Oreochromis niloticus: one gene and its partner. The protein of the gene in region 1 purifies or fractionates together with the protein of each later gene. This does not show direct contact. Links are inferred from orthologs where the notes say so. Each region holds a gene or a part of one and is shown in the gene's direction. Other genes may lie near its edges.

Region 1 (8,110 bases):
TAAAGTTTTATCTAATCTAATCTAAATGCAGAATGGGGGTCTAAAATTATTATGATTATTATGAATTTTACAATTATTATCCAATTATTTTGTCTTGACTTGCAAGTAAAAGCAAAATAAATTGATTAGTAGTTTTAGCGTGATCAAGAGATTTAGTACAATAATGCAAAATAATACTGCTTTACAGACAAATATGATGATTATAATGATAAGAGTAACACATTACTTTGAAATGGGTTACAATCAGCAATGTTTTTATTGAAGTATTACAAAGAAAAATATAACCTGGTACAAGTGCAGTTTTGTTGTTTGTGACCGTCATATCAGCATGAGACAGACTGGCTGTCTTCAGAGGAGGCTGGTGAGTTACTGATTTTAAAGAGCACACAATTTTAAATTCTGCATTTCTATGTTAGCTCATGCTGTGAGTGTTGCTTTGTACACCTCTTCATCGAACTGTGGAAGAACTTGTGATGTGACATACTGCTACTGCACACTGTAAAATGTTGGATGTAATGTGGATAAAAAAGGACATGGCTTATTAACAGCTTTTGCATATGCTGCAATTTTCAGGAGCGACTTCCTCAGTTTACCATTTCAAGCTATTGAGTGCAGCTTAGCAGGAGTGAAGCCAAAAGGTAAAGCTCTCATCTTGACAATGACTGTCTTTCTTTTTCTCTCTCTCTCACTTGCTCATTCACTCACTGTCTCTTACCCTTTCACTACCTTTCCCTCTTTCTTACACCTCTCTCTTACATACACACTCTTTCCCAAACACACACACACATACACACTTTGTCACACACTTGCTGGTACATGAGGACATAAGGGCACTTTTATGCCCACTGCTTACCTCCTGTCACACTGTGTTGTGCAGTGAAATTCATATCACGTCCACTGGCATTACCATTTTGGCGTTCTTTTGTCTGGTCGTGTATATATCATGTGTTGTGATATAGCCAAAAAATATGTTTTATTTTAACCATCAGTTGCACACAGAAGTTTTTCACAAATGACAATATTCTCACAGTATGTCTCTTTCTGTTGTCAACACGAACCCTTTAACAAAAAAAGTAAGCAAGAATTCACGAGACAAAGTGAAACAATTGAAATTAAAAAGGTGTTCTCTGTGCTTATAGCATATAAAAACTGTAAAATGTGATGACCTACAGAAACAAAAGTGTAGTTAATGTCTATAAAAGCCATTCACCAAAAACTGTCAGAGGTATCAGAGTGTCTCAGAACTATCGGCTCTATATGTGCTAGGAAGTTTAAACAACAAAAAGTGGTAAAATGGAAAACTGTTCCAAGTTCAGACAATGCCTGAAAAACCACTGAACAACAACAGTCATGTCACAGGTATTAGAGCATCTCAAAACAACCTAAATAATGATTGCGCTTTCTGTTCTAGATTTTAAACAACAAAACACACCACGCATATTGGTAAAATAATCACAAAGCTAAGGTATAATGAAGGATTGTGACTTGTACTCCTGAAAAAGAACACTCTCATCAGTGTTTAAGGTGTGTAAGTTCTGTGCCAACAACACAAGCCTGTCAACACCTCCAGGTTTGAGTGAAGCTTGGTGACATGTGACCACATTTCCACTAGTACTAAATACCATGTTCCACATTCAGGTTCGACATCCTCCTTGCGAAATCCAAACCACTGCCAGATTATTGATCCAGTGCTGTTTCTCTTTGGAACTATCTTGTCTGGCTCCTGTTCAGTTACAGTCTCATTTCCTTGCTTGTCTGAGACTCTCACTGTCACCATATTTTTTCCTATTTGGCAGTATATAAACGCGCATGCTCAGCGCAGTGTGCCAGGTAGAAAAACGTCTGGGGAGGTGGGATTAGTGATGCATTTGTAGCATGTGGGAGAAAAAAAACTGCAGACAGCTTAATATAACCATGGCAGTTTATACTCGATGGTTACAATAGAGCCATTTTAACCATCATAAGTGAAAAAACTACATTCGCTATATCACTCAGACTTACCTTACTGGGGAACATAAATAAAACTGACTGTGTGATGATGTTACGGTGGCACAATCAATGCAGAGGATATACTGAGGTCTTTTAGTATTCTGCAGTGCATTGTTCTTGAATTCTTGATTATTTCAGTCTCTTTCCTCCATCAACCTGTCATGCAGGAGGGGTTTGGACTGAGGAAGCCCTGGATCAGTTTGAGAGGCTGACATATTGTGCCTCTTGGAGACCCCTGCAGGCCAAACTGTGCAGCTACTCTCACTCGGAAATCTCCTCATGGCCCAGTGTCAAGCTCTATGACAACAGTGAGGGCAAGGTTAGATAGGATTTTATTTCTTAATAATAAGACTTTAATAAGCCTGTATTTGGTTTGTCCTTTACCCTGTCTCCTCTTTCCATGTGCATATCATGTAAAAAAGACTGTGGATGTTGGAGAGGAGCTTATACGATTGGGCTATGCCGTTATCTTCCATGAAGATTTGAATGGAAAAAAAGAGGGCTGCAATCTTGGCTGTCTGCAGATGATGCTGGTAAGTTACTGATTCTGCTTTTTGTGTCTTGCAGCGTCTCTTACTTCTTCCTGGACAAAAATAGGGTATCAATATACTTAATCTTGAACAGGACATCTGTAAGCCAGCGGGAAAAAATCCTGGAAAAATCAACACTAAACAGAGAGATAGATCAAAACTACTTGGATGATTGTGGAATTCTAATTTTTGGGAATCCAGACTCCCTCAGTTAACCTCCACCGACTGACAACAACCCTGACTTGCAGCCATGACTTGCAGGCTGCAAGACTGATGCCATTCAATTCAATTCAATTCAATTTTATTTATATAGCGCCAAATCACAAAAGTCGCCTCAAAGCGCTTCATAATCTCTGTCCAACTGTATCCGACAAGGTACTCTGTCATTTTTTATTATTATTATTTTAACTTATCTTTATGCCTGAGAGATTAGGTAATCCCCTTACTTCTGTTCTGAAAGTTTGAAGAACTGGTTAACAGCGGCTAATCACTTTTATTCTTCCAACAGGATGATGTAATAGGAGCATCATCAGAGCTCAGTCTTTCCTGTATCAGTTTATCAGGTGAGTTCTGTCATGGAACTGTAATTTGAGATTTGCCAGTGACTATGTTTAAGCGATCATAAAGTAACCCTCATACCCTTATGTTACTGGGATTGTATGTTGAAGTAGAAATGTTATCTAGGTTTCTAAATACAATAGAATATCCAAGTGATGTCCACATTGGATCAGATTCTTGACTTGGGACACTTCTTAAACCTACAGAGAGGTAGTGTATGCCCCCATGTGGTGGAAAATTAACAGGAATGCAGTTCTGTTAAATCAACTTTCTAAAGTGTCTCAAGAAGAAATGAACTCAACAATATACATTTTGGTTAGGATCAATTAACTTGACCCTAATGCTCAGAATACTTGTATTCAGTGCAATTTGTAGTTTATCTCCAACAAATCAGGAAATATAACATAGTGAAACAAAAGGGACAGTGTCACCATGACTCTGTCAAGCTTTTGTACCATGGTGGATAAACAAAAAGAGTTGAAGCTGCTGTTACAGTCATTGTTAACTTGAGTGTTTCCTTCTTGCACCTCAGAAGCTGCCTCTATATCAGGAAGTGTTGATGATGTTGTGGAGGACGAGTTGCTGTGAGACCAAAGATATTCAAAAAACCAAGGTATCTTCTCCCAGTTTGATGTCTGATTCTGAACATTTGCTAGTGAACGCTCTTGTGTGAACCATTATGTCTAAAAATGATGAACTTTTCTTTAGCAGTCCTCAACATCTACTCCTCAGCATCAGCCCTAATGATGATGTAGAGCTTTGCCTAACCTAAACCTAAACTTGATTACATAAACCCTCTTCCTGAAGCCTTACCTACTTGATGAGTGTGCAGCAGTTCTTCCAGCCATTATCACTTTGTTGTTGTTACTTCAGCAAATAATTCTTTGTTTTTTGTTTAATGTTTCGTTCTGCTTTGCCAAATTTTGTGTTCAAGGAACAGGGAAAAGAATAAATCTAGAATGCCAGTATTATTACTGAAAAGCACTGTGATTGGAATTACTGGAGCAAAGTTCATTTGGTTTGTGGTTAATATTGTTTAGTTTCTTGCTGTACTTGTATGTATATCAAAAAAACTATGCCCATTATCAGGCTTAAGTGAATATATTTTGGAAGTTAAAAGCTAAAGTGTTATTGAATGTGGTTCTCAGATTTTGTTCAATGTGAATATATTGCATCTACTGTAGAAATCTTTCACAAGAAAGATTGTCTTCGAAAATGTAATAATGTCACTATATCCTAATAAAATATTTATTTTACTTCACATGTACTACTGTATTTTATTTTGAAGTTCTTTTTATATGGAAAAATTCCAAATGAAAGTCAGGAGCTAGTTATAAACAAAACAAAACCATAGAAATTACTGTAACGTTTCTGTATTTACACCTACTGATAATCTGTAGTTGTTCTGAAGGCCCCTTTCATTCAGTTACTCTGCAAAGTCTATTATTTTGTGTCTGCATCGGTCGATGACCTCCATTGCAGATCCACCAATCACATGAAAGTAGGTTACGGTCGCTCATGCGCAGAGGCTGCAGAGTAATTTGTTGATATCCTGCTTGGTAGTATTTCGACTAAAATTCAAAGCTAGGTTATACCCCAGGTGAGGGGATTTGTTTGAATTAGGAAGTGCAGGTAACTGGAAGAACAGCTATATGAAGGGCTGATGGAAAACGCAAGGGATTTGGTGAGTTGGTTTGAAACATTTTTGGGCCGCGAGCCTCCGATTCCAGTGGATTGTTCAGGGTAGTACGCCTCCTTTGTTGTTATCTGTTTACGATAGCCAGCTAGTGGCTCACCCATCTACACATAATACTAAAGCTCTTTCTTTTCTCTCTCTCGCTCTCTCTCAAAAAAAAAACGAGTAGAGTTTTCTTACAAGTCTAACTATTGCAACTATACGTTAATAGACGAACGTAAAAAGGCTTTGTTCTGAAACCCCCCCCCTGGAAAAACAGGTTCTGCTAGCTAGCTCTGCTAGTGCTGTTTAGCTTTAGGAGGTGTTTGTAATAAGGCCGTCCCTTATTTTAGTTTCGGTATTAGTTTACTTTTCCAGTATATATGTATGTAAAATGTAGCTTACAAAGGATGTCTTTGGAAATGGGTGTCTTGATTTATTTTTTTTATTTTTTATTTTTTTTAAGTTAAACTGTTGCGCGTAGTGTAATGTTTGGGCTGAGATGCTGTGAAGAGGAAGTAAACTAGCTTTGACAACATGTACGCATTGTTCCGGATCCTGTGATCAGACTTCCATACTTTCACGTAGTATTTATTCATTTATTTAGAGATTTTTGGGCGTTTCGAAAAAAGTCATGCTGACTCAGATATGGTTCGCTGATATTTTCCTACCTGAATCTAAATGATGCATTAATGATGAAAGGCGAACTGTAAAAATACATCTTTCAACTAAAACAAGTTCAGCTTCACTTCAATACTAAAATTTAGCTTAGGGAGTTGATTTTTGTTTACATTTGTCTAAAACATCTTACAAATGCTCATAAAAAATGGAAAGAATATTGATAAAAAATAATAAAAATGTGAACCAAGAAGATTTGAATCTTTATTTTCTTCTGGTCCATTATTATTTTTTGCATCAACCATTGCAATCAAACCATTTCTTTTGCAACTATTGCAGACTGCGTCTGCTCCCCCATTCTTCCCCTTCCTACCGCCCAAGATTGCCTTAGAGCAATATTTCCTTTCTCGCTTCCTCACAAAAGTTGTTTTAAGTATTTTCGTTTTTTTGTATTGATTCGCACAGAGATTGAGATTAACAGTAATAAGAATTATTTTAAGGCACTATTATTGCTGTGCTTTCACCATTATATGTTTGAAGAAAAGGTTAATTTTATTAATATTAAAAACCATGGTATATTTAATTTGAAGAGCGCCACTGTTAAAAAATAAATAAAAAAACTGGGCATCCCTTCTGCACTAAAGACAAATGTTTGGCTAGTTTGTGTGGCTAAACTCCAGGACCACAGAACAAGGACATTTGTAAGGAGCTGTTAAAATAAAGTGCAATAGCTTAAAAGAATAGAAGTATGAGAATGCAGCTTTATTTTTCTTTTATTAAGTTTTAGTAAAGTAAAATAACTCAAAAGGGAATGGAGTAAAATAAAATGACTTGAATGAAATATGTTTTTCTGAACAGTTACCTTCTCTTAGACCAATTTCACTGCTTTCTCTGAACAACGCCAAAGTAAACGTGTTACATTATATGGAGAAATGGAGAGGAGAACCTCCTGAGCTACAGACACCCCTAAAAGCATCCATATGAATTCATTCAGTGTTTCTCTGTTGTGTCCTCATCTGTAAAGGCTGAGCGTACCCCACGTTCAGATCGTAAGCGACGAGACTCATTCGGGATGTTTGATGGCTATGACAGCTGCAGCGAGGAGTCCACCAGCAGCTCTAGCTCAGACGACAGTGAGGATGAGGTGGTACCCTCCATCCCTGCTAGTCTGCCCATCATCAAGAACAATGGACAAGTCTACACCTACCCTGATGGAAAGGCTGGAATGGGTCAGTACATGAGGCTTTTTTTGTGTGTGTTGCTTAAATATCAATCTGTGAGTGAACAATAATAGTGTTTACGTTTAGCTGCTGTGGCTCAGGAAGTATAACGATTATTAGTTTGAGCCTCAGCTCCTCAACGTTCATATGTGCAAATATCCTTGGCCAAGATATTGAATTACCTAAACAGTTAATGCATTACTTTTGGTATACCCTTTGAATTAAATCTAAAAATTTTCATTTAAATCACATTTGGTTAATTTAAAATCCACTGTAGTGATGGGGTGGCTCGGTCCCCTTCTGCTCCATTCTACATGCCAAATATCCTTGGCCAAGATAATAACCCCAAGTTGTTCTCCGATGCATCCACCGGACAATGAATGTGTATGAATGTTGGGTAGGAAGAACTTGCATAGAAAGTGCCTAGAAAAAAGTACTTGTGCGATTGGATGTGAATGGGTGAATGAGGAAAGATTTATAAAGAGCTTTTAGTATTCAGAGTAGAAAGGCGCTATATAAAAACCAGTCCATTTACCACGTACAGAGCAAAAATTGCAATTGTGTCAATTTCCAAATACTTATGGAGATAACTATAAATGCCATTTACCATTTGTAGACTGCTGATGTATTTCGGTTTGTTTTCACAGCCACCTGTGAGATGTGTGGGATGGTCGGTGTACGAGATGCTTTTTACTCCAAAACCAAGCGTTTCTGCAGTGTGTCCTGTTCTAGGAGTTATTCCTCAAATTCTAAAAAAGCTAGCATCTTGGCAAGACTCCAGGTAAATTCATTATCTTTGATAAAAAAGTATAGTAGTTTCATAATTTTGTATTGTGTAAATATTAACATCTGCTTTGATTTTTACAAGGGCAAACCACCAACAAAAAAGGCCAAAGTCTTACAGAAACAGCCTCTCATGGCAAAGTTGGCAGCTTATGCCCAGTACCAAGCAAGTCAACAGAACCAGGCCAAACTGAAAGCAGGTAGGCTGTGAAAAAGCAATCATGATGGGGCTCATATTTCTGCTCTTTTTGATGTACACAAGCTACAAACTAATTGTTCTTTCTGTCAGTGGTCCCTGGAGAGAGTTTTGACTGGGGGCAGTATATCTGTAGCAGTAACACGGTGGGGGCTCCTGTCAGCTGTTTCAAGCATGTAAGTAGCTGGAGCTGAGAATATGGTCACCACTGATATGATACTATGATTATCATAGCTGATAACTTCTGTGCCTCAGGCCCCCATGGGAACATGTTGGGGAGATATTGAAGTAGGTGTGAGGATTGAAGTGCCCAACTCTGATACCAACTTCTCCACCAAGGTGTACTGGATAGCAGAAATCATAAAGCTAGCAGGTAAACGCTACAAGTAATTAAGGTAAAATCTCTCACACAACCCCTGGGGTGTTTTGTATTTTTAATTGTGTTTGTGTCTTTTCATTTTTGTGAACTGTGTTAGGAGTAAGTGTTAATGCTGAATAAGTATATCACAACATGGCAAATGTATGCAAAGTCCGATGTAAA
Region 2 (7,615 bases), on another chromosome or scaffold:
ATTTTTATGCATTTACTACTGCCAGGGAGAGCACACATGAGGCTAAAGTCCTGGACAAGTTTGAAACATTTCATTGACTAACATGGAAAATGGCTGAAAATAAAAATGAGCATCACTTTATCCTAATTTCACTACTTTACCGCTAATTTTACAGATAGACTCTGGGCATTGGCATCCTTCATGCAGTGGAGCCAATGCATCGGAACAGAGGGCGGCCCAGGAGGTAATAATAAAGAGAGCTGATGTGTATCTGGCCTCCTGCACTGACAGTTTCCTGCTCATGTAAATGTTCGGGCAGCTGATCCCCTTTACTCGGAGTGTAGAGCAGGGGTTCCCCACAGAGAGCCTTTGTAATGACTGACCCAACACCCTGTCATGCTACTCACTTTGGGAGTGCTCTTTCAATACCCAGTACAGTGGTCTCCAGCCTCACTATATAAAGGAGAGAAACCTCATTAGTTTTATCATGCACACCTGTCCCTCCAACCCCCCTGGCACTGCCCCTTGAGCTCACTGCACCACCCTCCCCTGCAGCTGAGGCAGGGACCACGCCTCCGCCACAGCCTTCTTTACCTGTACGAACGCTGCCTGACACTGCTCCGTCCACTGGACCAGATCTGGGGCGAGATCAGTCAAGGGGCTGATCAGGTCTGTGAAGCCTGGCATAAACTGGCAGTAGTACCCAGCCAGCCCGTGGTTAAATCCAGTGTTGTGAAAAAACGAGCAGTGCGTACCTGGTCCAGGAGCTCGGCTCCCCTTGCTTTCACTCTGTCTTTCCTCACTGCAGACTCCTATGGGAGTCACTGACAAACTTATGTTTACAGCTAGATAGCGCAATGAAAAAACACCTCTAAGTGCTGGGTGAATCCTACAGAACTAGACATGCAGTATAGAATGAAAATATACATTAGGCACTATTCTCAGGAACCAAGAATGCCTGCGGTGAAAATTCTGGCTTCGAGGTAAACCAGTACGAAACAAACATTTAAAGACTACATTTTATGAATATCAAAGATAAAGTTATCCATGAGAAAGAAAAATACACTCCTCAAAACGTGAAGTATAAACCGGAAACATCAACAGTTCCCCTAGATATATTTTTCTTACTTGGTTATCGTCTTAATGTAAGTCCCATGTGACCCCATCATGAATAATCCACAGCCGGGCTGGGTGCAGCAGGTCGAATCGGACCCCTTTGACTCCTCTGAGCTAGCGGCAGCTGTTTGCAAAGGCTGCATGTGCTCGCGCCGTCTTGGCGGGATAATCGGTGAAAACCGAGATGGTCATATTGTTCACCTTGATCCACTGAAGCTCCCTTGCCCTCGAAAGGATTTTAACACAGTCAGTGTAGTAATGTAGTTAGCTACTATGGCACAGGGCCGCTCTTGTGTCTTGGGCTTGGGAGCCAGAGTACGGTGAGCGCGATCTAGCAGCGGCTCCTCTGGGAGGTCAAAGGCCTCCTTTAGCAACTGCGAATCGGCATCCGTGGATGCTGACAATGGGTCGTCTTTCAGAACACCAATGATGCGGATGTTTTGACACCTGGACTCCAAATCGTCACATTTATCCTCCAACTTGGCCACCGCCTTAGTTAGATGGTCCACTTTTCTCTGGAGGCTGATGATGTCGTCAGTACAGGTGGACAGGGATCGCTGCATCTCGGTAACCGTTACCTTTAGTTAGGTGAAACTCTCCTACTCTACTTTGAGAGCACAGACACGGCTACTATCGGCAGCCTGGGCCCCAGTCGCCAACTCAGGACAGGTCAAGGGCTCATCAGGAGAGGCTGCAGGCGAGGCTGGATCAAGTTTCCTCATTTAGTCGGCTTTGGTGGCATTTTAGTGACCAAAATATAAAAGTTTACAATTGTAAAAGGACTTAGATATTGCTTGGGGTCGAGTCAGAGAAAAAGTGCTCAGTAATAATTGAAAAAAACCACCCAACTCTGCAGGAGCTCACCGAAACGCTACTCAGACCAAACCGCCATTAGCTGGAGTCCAGCTCTGTTTACGATACAAGATATTTTCCATTGAGTGGGCCCTCTTGTTGGAACGGCTCCACCAGCTCAGCTGTCGGTCTGAATAGGGACTAATGGAAAAGGGACTTAGGCTACGTCCACACTAATGCGTTTTCGTTTGAAAATGCATAGTTTTTTCTCCGTTTTGGCCAACCGTCCACACTGAGACGGCGCTTTCCCCAAGGAAAACGAAGCGTTTTGAAAACGCTCTCGAAAAGGAATACATTTGAAGACGGTGCGTTTGCGTCACAGTGTGGACAGTGAAAACGGAGACTTTCTAAAGCGATGACGCATTCTCACTCGCTTTTGCAACTTTGTACTTTTGTGTTACTCGCAGCAACAACTCCACCTCATTGTTAGTCCATTTAAAAAACTCGGTGCTTTTCCTCGACATTCTGCCGCGACGTTTCAAAGAGCCGGAAAGTAAATGAACGGCAGACAGAAATGAGGCAGGCCGAATCTTCTTGCGCTTCACGCATGTGCTAGACTGGAACCTAAGTATTTTTAGCCGTTTCAATGTGGATGCACAACTCTGTGAAAAAGACTGAAAACGCTAGTGTGGATGTGAAGCATTTTCAGACGAAAACGCCGTTTTCAAATCTATCTGGGCTAGTGTGGACGTAGTCTTAGGCATCCTTGGCCACCTTCAGGCACTGCTTCACCTCCTGCTGTGCTGACTTGATAACTGTCCTGTCCTTGGTTCTGAAGGCCTCCTTCTTCCTGCTGAGGACAGCTTTGACACCCTCTGTTATCCACAGTTTGATGTTGGATTTGGACTCGTATGAAAAGGGGAAAAAATTCAGTTTAAAATATTGAGCCAATGCCAAATAATAACGTTGGGTTTGTAACACTCATTCCTTCAGCACTCTTTAAAGGTTGAATTTCCCGTGTTGGCTGGTAATAACTAGCTCAATGGATTAGTTCACTCAACATATTGTGACAGGATGACATCATGTAAAAAACTAGCATCTATTTTTGTCTTTCATCAGTGACCCAGTCAGCTACTCTCCAGCTGCACTATTTTCCCACCAAAGATTTTATTTATTTATTTTCTATTTTTGTTTCCGCTCAAGTCCCCGCAGGAAAAATGACATCAGCGCTTCTCACGCTCTTTATGCCTTTTTCTTCTGAGCTGTCCCTCTCTTTCTCTCCTACTCTCAGTATTTCCCTCATGTGGATTGTGGAAACATTGTTGGTTTAGTTCATAACCTGATCTCTCCATATCCAGCACATGATGGCTCACACTACAATATTACTGATTTTACAGTATTGTGATGCAGCCATGTACAACAAAGAGACAACAAGACAGCTCTTCTTATGACTTTACAAAAAGTTTTGATTTTTTTGATTTTTTTTCTTTTTTTTCAAAGTCCATCTGCTGTGTTAGTCAGCCTCCCCTGACACCACACGGCCCCCAGCAGACCCATGGCTGATTTCCTCTCCCAGTTAGGGGGGTGGGGCTGACCAACACAGCAGATCTCCATCAGCTAATCATCCCTCCTCTCTTTAAGTCGGCTGTTGCGAGCAGTGCTGGACTGAGCTGGAGTGTGACAGCTGGAAAGCTGCACAAACAGACTGATAGGTCCTTCTGTTACAAGCATAGAGCATATTATTGGTCTCCGGTCCTTTGAATGTTGAATCAGTCTAAAGAAGTGGGCATCGTACTGGATTCACTTTATCCGGCGAGGATCGCTCTGATTTTGAAACAGAACTGTGACCCTACTTTCATCTCATAGTACAAACCTGTATCTCTCCTTTCAGTCTAAGCAAAAACCAGGATCTAATCATCTGAAAACTTATACTGCCAAAATCATACTTCTGGATCAGACAAAGTTCATACCCAGTGGGCATATTCATTTCAACATGCAGAGACTCTTTGGTATCATCCATATCCCTGCTCACAGCAGGGAGGATTCAGTTGTATCTCTCTTTGTGCCGAGAAGGCTTTTGCTCAAGTTGAACGGCCTTTTGGTCGACGACTTTTCCCCTCTTCCTGTATCATTTGGGGTGGTTGGAACAAGTGGTGTAAAAGATCATTATGATGCTCGAGCCATTTCCTTATCAAGGCTGAGTGGAACTGAGTCTACACCCAGTCTTTGGCTAAAATCTTGCATATCTGAGGCACAGCTGTAGGAAGTGATAGATTTCTGGCTGATCTTTATGAGTGGCCATTGCTCTGTCTCTCTCTCTTTCTGCCTGGGAATTTTTACAGGTAGCTTGTGACATCTATGTAACACACAGAGATTCATTCAACATTCATTTAGGATGGATGGATTGATGCAGGCTGTAATTAAATTACTTCAAACACAGAGCACCAACTTTTTCTTCAGTTTGCCTTCTTTGTCTGCTTGTGGCTGGTTGCTTTATCCTGTTGATGGTGTGGCCAGTTGTCCCAGTCAGCACAGGGAATCCCATTATTTTAAACATTTGATCATGCTGCTTCAGCAAAGTTCTTCCAGTTATACAAGAATAGCAGCAATTTCCCAACCTTAGAGTTAAATGATACTCAGAGCAATTAGATTTCCAGGCTATTGCACTGACCTCTGCTCGAGTACATATGTGTTTTTAGAAAAGAGGTAACGTGCAAGACCCTGAAAATTGGTATGTGGGGGAGGCGGGGGTGAGCACTCTGCTGTGCTTCATATACTAAACTAAATGGTAAATGGCCTGTATTTGTATAGCGCTTTACTTAGTCCCTATGGACCCCAAAGCGCTTTACACTACATTCAGTCATCCACCCATTCACAACAGGTGATGGCAAGCTACATTGTAGCCACGGCTGCCCTGGGGTGCACTGACAGAGGCGAGGTTTTACCAAATGGGGCTATTTAATTTTACCATCAGCTTTGATAGCTTTCTGCCTAAACCCTAAACTGGATAAGCAGATAAGAAGATGAATGTATGTGGGGACTTTTATCTATAGTAAATTAAAAGTTAATGACATGTGAAAGAAAAACTAATGCTAACTCATTTCGATATAAAATGGGAAAGGGATACGCCACATAAACTACATTACCCATAAGCTCTTAGAACGGAACCGCACAGAGAGCTCATTTATTGGCTGAAGAGCTGCAGCGGTAATCACGTGACTGCCGTCATCCGGGTAGCCATGGTTGTATATAAAGACCCGCTGTGGGGGGGAGGGGGTCTAGTTCAAACAACAGTCGATATTCAGTGCAGACGGAGGATATTATTTTGGCTGCGGAGTCAGAGTTTCTTTGTAAGTTTTTAAATATGGTACGTATTACATGTCGTATTAACGAAACATTATAACGACACACTCTGTTTAGGTAGTTTGTTTGAAACAAATCTTAATTTGGTAGCGTTGCATTTTCTTTATTAGTTAACAGTTGGCCGCTAGCATTGGCTGGTGTAGTGGATTAGCATGCTAAATACCCACTGGCTTCACTGGGGAAGCGCTAGCATGGCTAGCGAATATTAAGCGGACCTTAAGTTAATGTTGAGCTACAATAAGGCGCGTTTCGGCGGAGGCACACTAACAGTACTGGTGTTTTACAGGCTGGTGGTAAAGCTGGTAAAGACTCTGGAAAGACCAAGACCAAAGCGATTTCGCGCTCTCAGAGAGCAGGACTGCAGGTTTGTCCCCAAATTTCATTCATTTTCTCGGTTGCGCAAGCACGCGCTATTAGCCAAAAGTCAGTGGTTCTTTGTCGGTGGCGGGCTCTCATCGAGCGGCCAGCACGGCTTTGCTTCTGTTCACTCGTGTCACATTATCCCCGCAGTTCCCGGTAGGCCGTATCCACAGACACCTCAAGTCCAGAACAACGAGCCACGGCAGAGTAGGAGCCACCGCGGCGGTGTACAGCGCGGCTATTCTCGAATACCTTACTGCTGAGGTGACCCTAAGCTCCGTTTATCTTGCACTTCGTTGCTTGAGGTGTTGATCTTTTTGTAAAGGCTGTGTCTCTTTCAGGTTCTAGAGTTGGCAGGAAATGCATCAAAGGACCTTAAAGTAAAGCGTATAACCCCACGCCACTTGCAGCTGGCTATTAGAGGAGATGAAGAGCTGGATTCACTTATCAAGGCCACTATTGCAGGCGGAGGTACGAACATTACAGAGAACTGTGTGATGGTCTTATACTCCCGTACTGTAGTGGTTTACACATTTTGTTGAGGCACAAATCCCTTTTGTGTTGCATCTGGTGTAAAACTGTAACATCAACACTGTTGTGGCAACTCTGTTACAAGGGAGCAGCTGAAAGTGGTTACTGAAATGAAAACTTAACCGTTCAAGTATATAAACTGTTATAACATTTATTTTTTCCAGGCGTGATCCCGCACATCCACAAATCTCTGATCGGGAAGAAGGGCCAGCAGAAGACTGTATAACCTGAAGTGTTCAGCAAGTTGTGCCATCTCAGGATGAAGTCTGCATCAAGTGGTTAAATGTCTTAGATTAGTAATCTTACATTATTTTATGGTAGTGTGCATTTACTACTCTGGGTGGGGTTTGTTTTTGGGTTTTTTGTTTTTTTTAATAGTGGGCCCCTCCCCTCTCCTGCAGGTTTTTGGGGGTGGGGGGCGGCTCCAGCCGGCTTGTCTTGGATGTATACGTGTATTTGGCCTTTCTGTTTTTAATCTTCACAGCTTTGAAAGGAGCTCACAGCCACCAAACCTAGTCGATACGGAGTACAGGATGTGCATAGCTTTTGTGAAAACTCAAGATGTGCTTGTGCTTTGTATGTACCTTTAATGCAGACCATCCATTTCAGCCTTGTATTTCAAAGCATGTTCATTCTCTTTACCACTGGACTGTCATGGACCGGTTCATAACCTTGTTGGTATTTTTGGATTCCTGAATAAAGACTGGATTTGGCACAGTCTGAGTGTTTCCCCTAGTCTTTGTCTTATTCTCTTTGAACAGAGTGCTGTGACTTTCCTCTTAATCATGCAGTGATGTATGACTACAGGTGGCGTAATGTGAAGCTTTGGCTTTCATTCCACTTTTGTTCAGTTTTACACAAAATTGGAGGAATGCCAATGGGCTCGTTAGGTGAGCTGGCTACATGCAGTGTTTTAGATTTATTTTTTTAAATACTTGAGGTCTACTGAATATTCAAACTTATTTGCTAATATGCACTGAAATTCTCATGGGTGCAAATGACTGAAAAGTCAGAACTCCAATCTTTGGTGGTTGGAGTTGGTTCAAATTTTCAAAGCCAGCCAGACCTTTATTTGATTACATGGCCCAAGTACTGATGAATCCACGCACTACATCTGATGGCGGATCTTATATTTCTAAGTATGTCTAACACTTTCTTCACAACAAGGTGCTGGGTTTACATCCACGACCTGGCTGGGCCTTCCTTTATGGTTTGCATGGGTTCTTTGAGTATTTGGGCAGCCTCCTGCAGTTAGTGGGGTTGGGTAAATTAATCCTAGTTACCCACAGGTGTGACAGGTTGGTGACCTTTGCAGGGTGTACTCCACCTCTCACTCTGGCAGCTGGGATAGGCTCCAGCAACCCCTGTGACCCTGAACTGGAAAAGTTGAGTAGAAGAGGATGGATGGGCTTCTAAATGTCAGTGTGTTTTAGCCTTAACTTTAGATCCTCACTAGGTGGCACTATAACCCCAC

Evidence for each region. The genes of interacting proteins can lie anywhere in the genome.
Region 2: the proteins of mbtd1 (region 1) and histone H2A.Z purify together in Homo sapiens (affinity purification with mass spectrometry; 3 studies listed by BioGRID and IntAct, with this or other methods). This does not show direct contact. The link is inferred for Oreochromis niloticus from reciprocal best matches to the Homo sapiens genes MBTD1 and H2AZ1.

The regions. Positions count from the first base shown.
Region 1 is NC_031973.2:29,982,439-29,990,548, forward strand, and holds the start of mbtd1 (MBT domain-containing protein 1), read left to right. Parts: upstream 1-4,579; 5' UTR 4,580-4,740; coding exon 4,741-4,761; intron 4,762-6,394; coding exon 6,395-6,599; intron 6,600-7,237; coding exon 7,238-7,371; intron 7,372-7,458; coding exon 7,459-7,573; intron 7,574-7,662; coding exon 7,663-7,745; intron 7,746-7,824; coding exon 7,825-7,942; intron 7,943-8,110. Other genes in the region: tdrkh (tudor and KH domain-containing protein), read left to right, coding at 574-638, 2,157-2,308, 2,412-2,522, 3,028-3,082, 3,610-3,665. UniProt on the Homo sapiens protein: Chromatin reader component of the NuA4 histone acetyltransferase complex, a multiprotein complex involved in transcriptional activation of select genes principally by acetylation of nucleosomal histones H4 and H2A.
Region 2 is NC_031967.2:1,586,621-1,594,235, reverse strand, and holds histone H2A.Z, read left to right. Parts: upstream 1-5,109; 5' UTR 5,110-5,126; coding exon 5,127-5,237; exon of another isoform or gene 5,238-5,251; coding exon of another isoform or gene 5,252-5,254; intron 5,255-5,536; coding exon 5,537-5,614; intron 5,615-5,760; coding exon 5,761-5,874; intron 5,875-5,951; coding exon 5,952-6,081; intron 6,082-6,305; coding exon 6,306-6,367; 3' UTR 6,368-6,861; downstream 6,862-7,615. UniProt on the Homo sapiens protein: Variant histone H2A which replaces conventional H2A in a subset of nucleosomes. Nucleosomes wrap and compact DNA into chromatin, limiting DNA accessibility to the cellular machineries which require DNA as a template.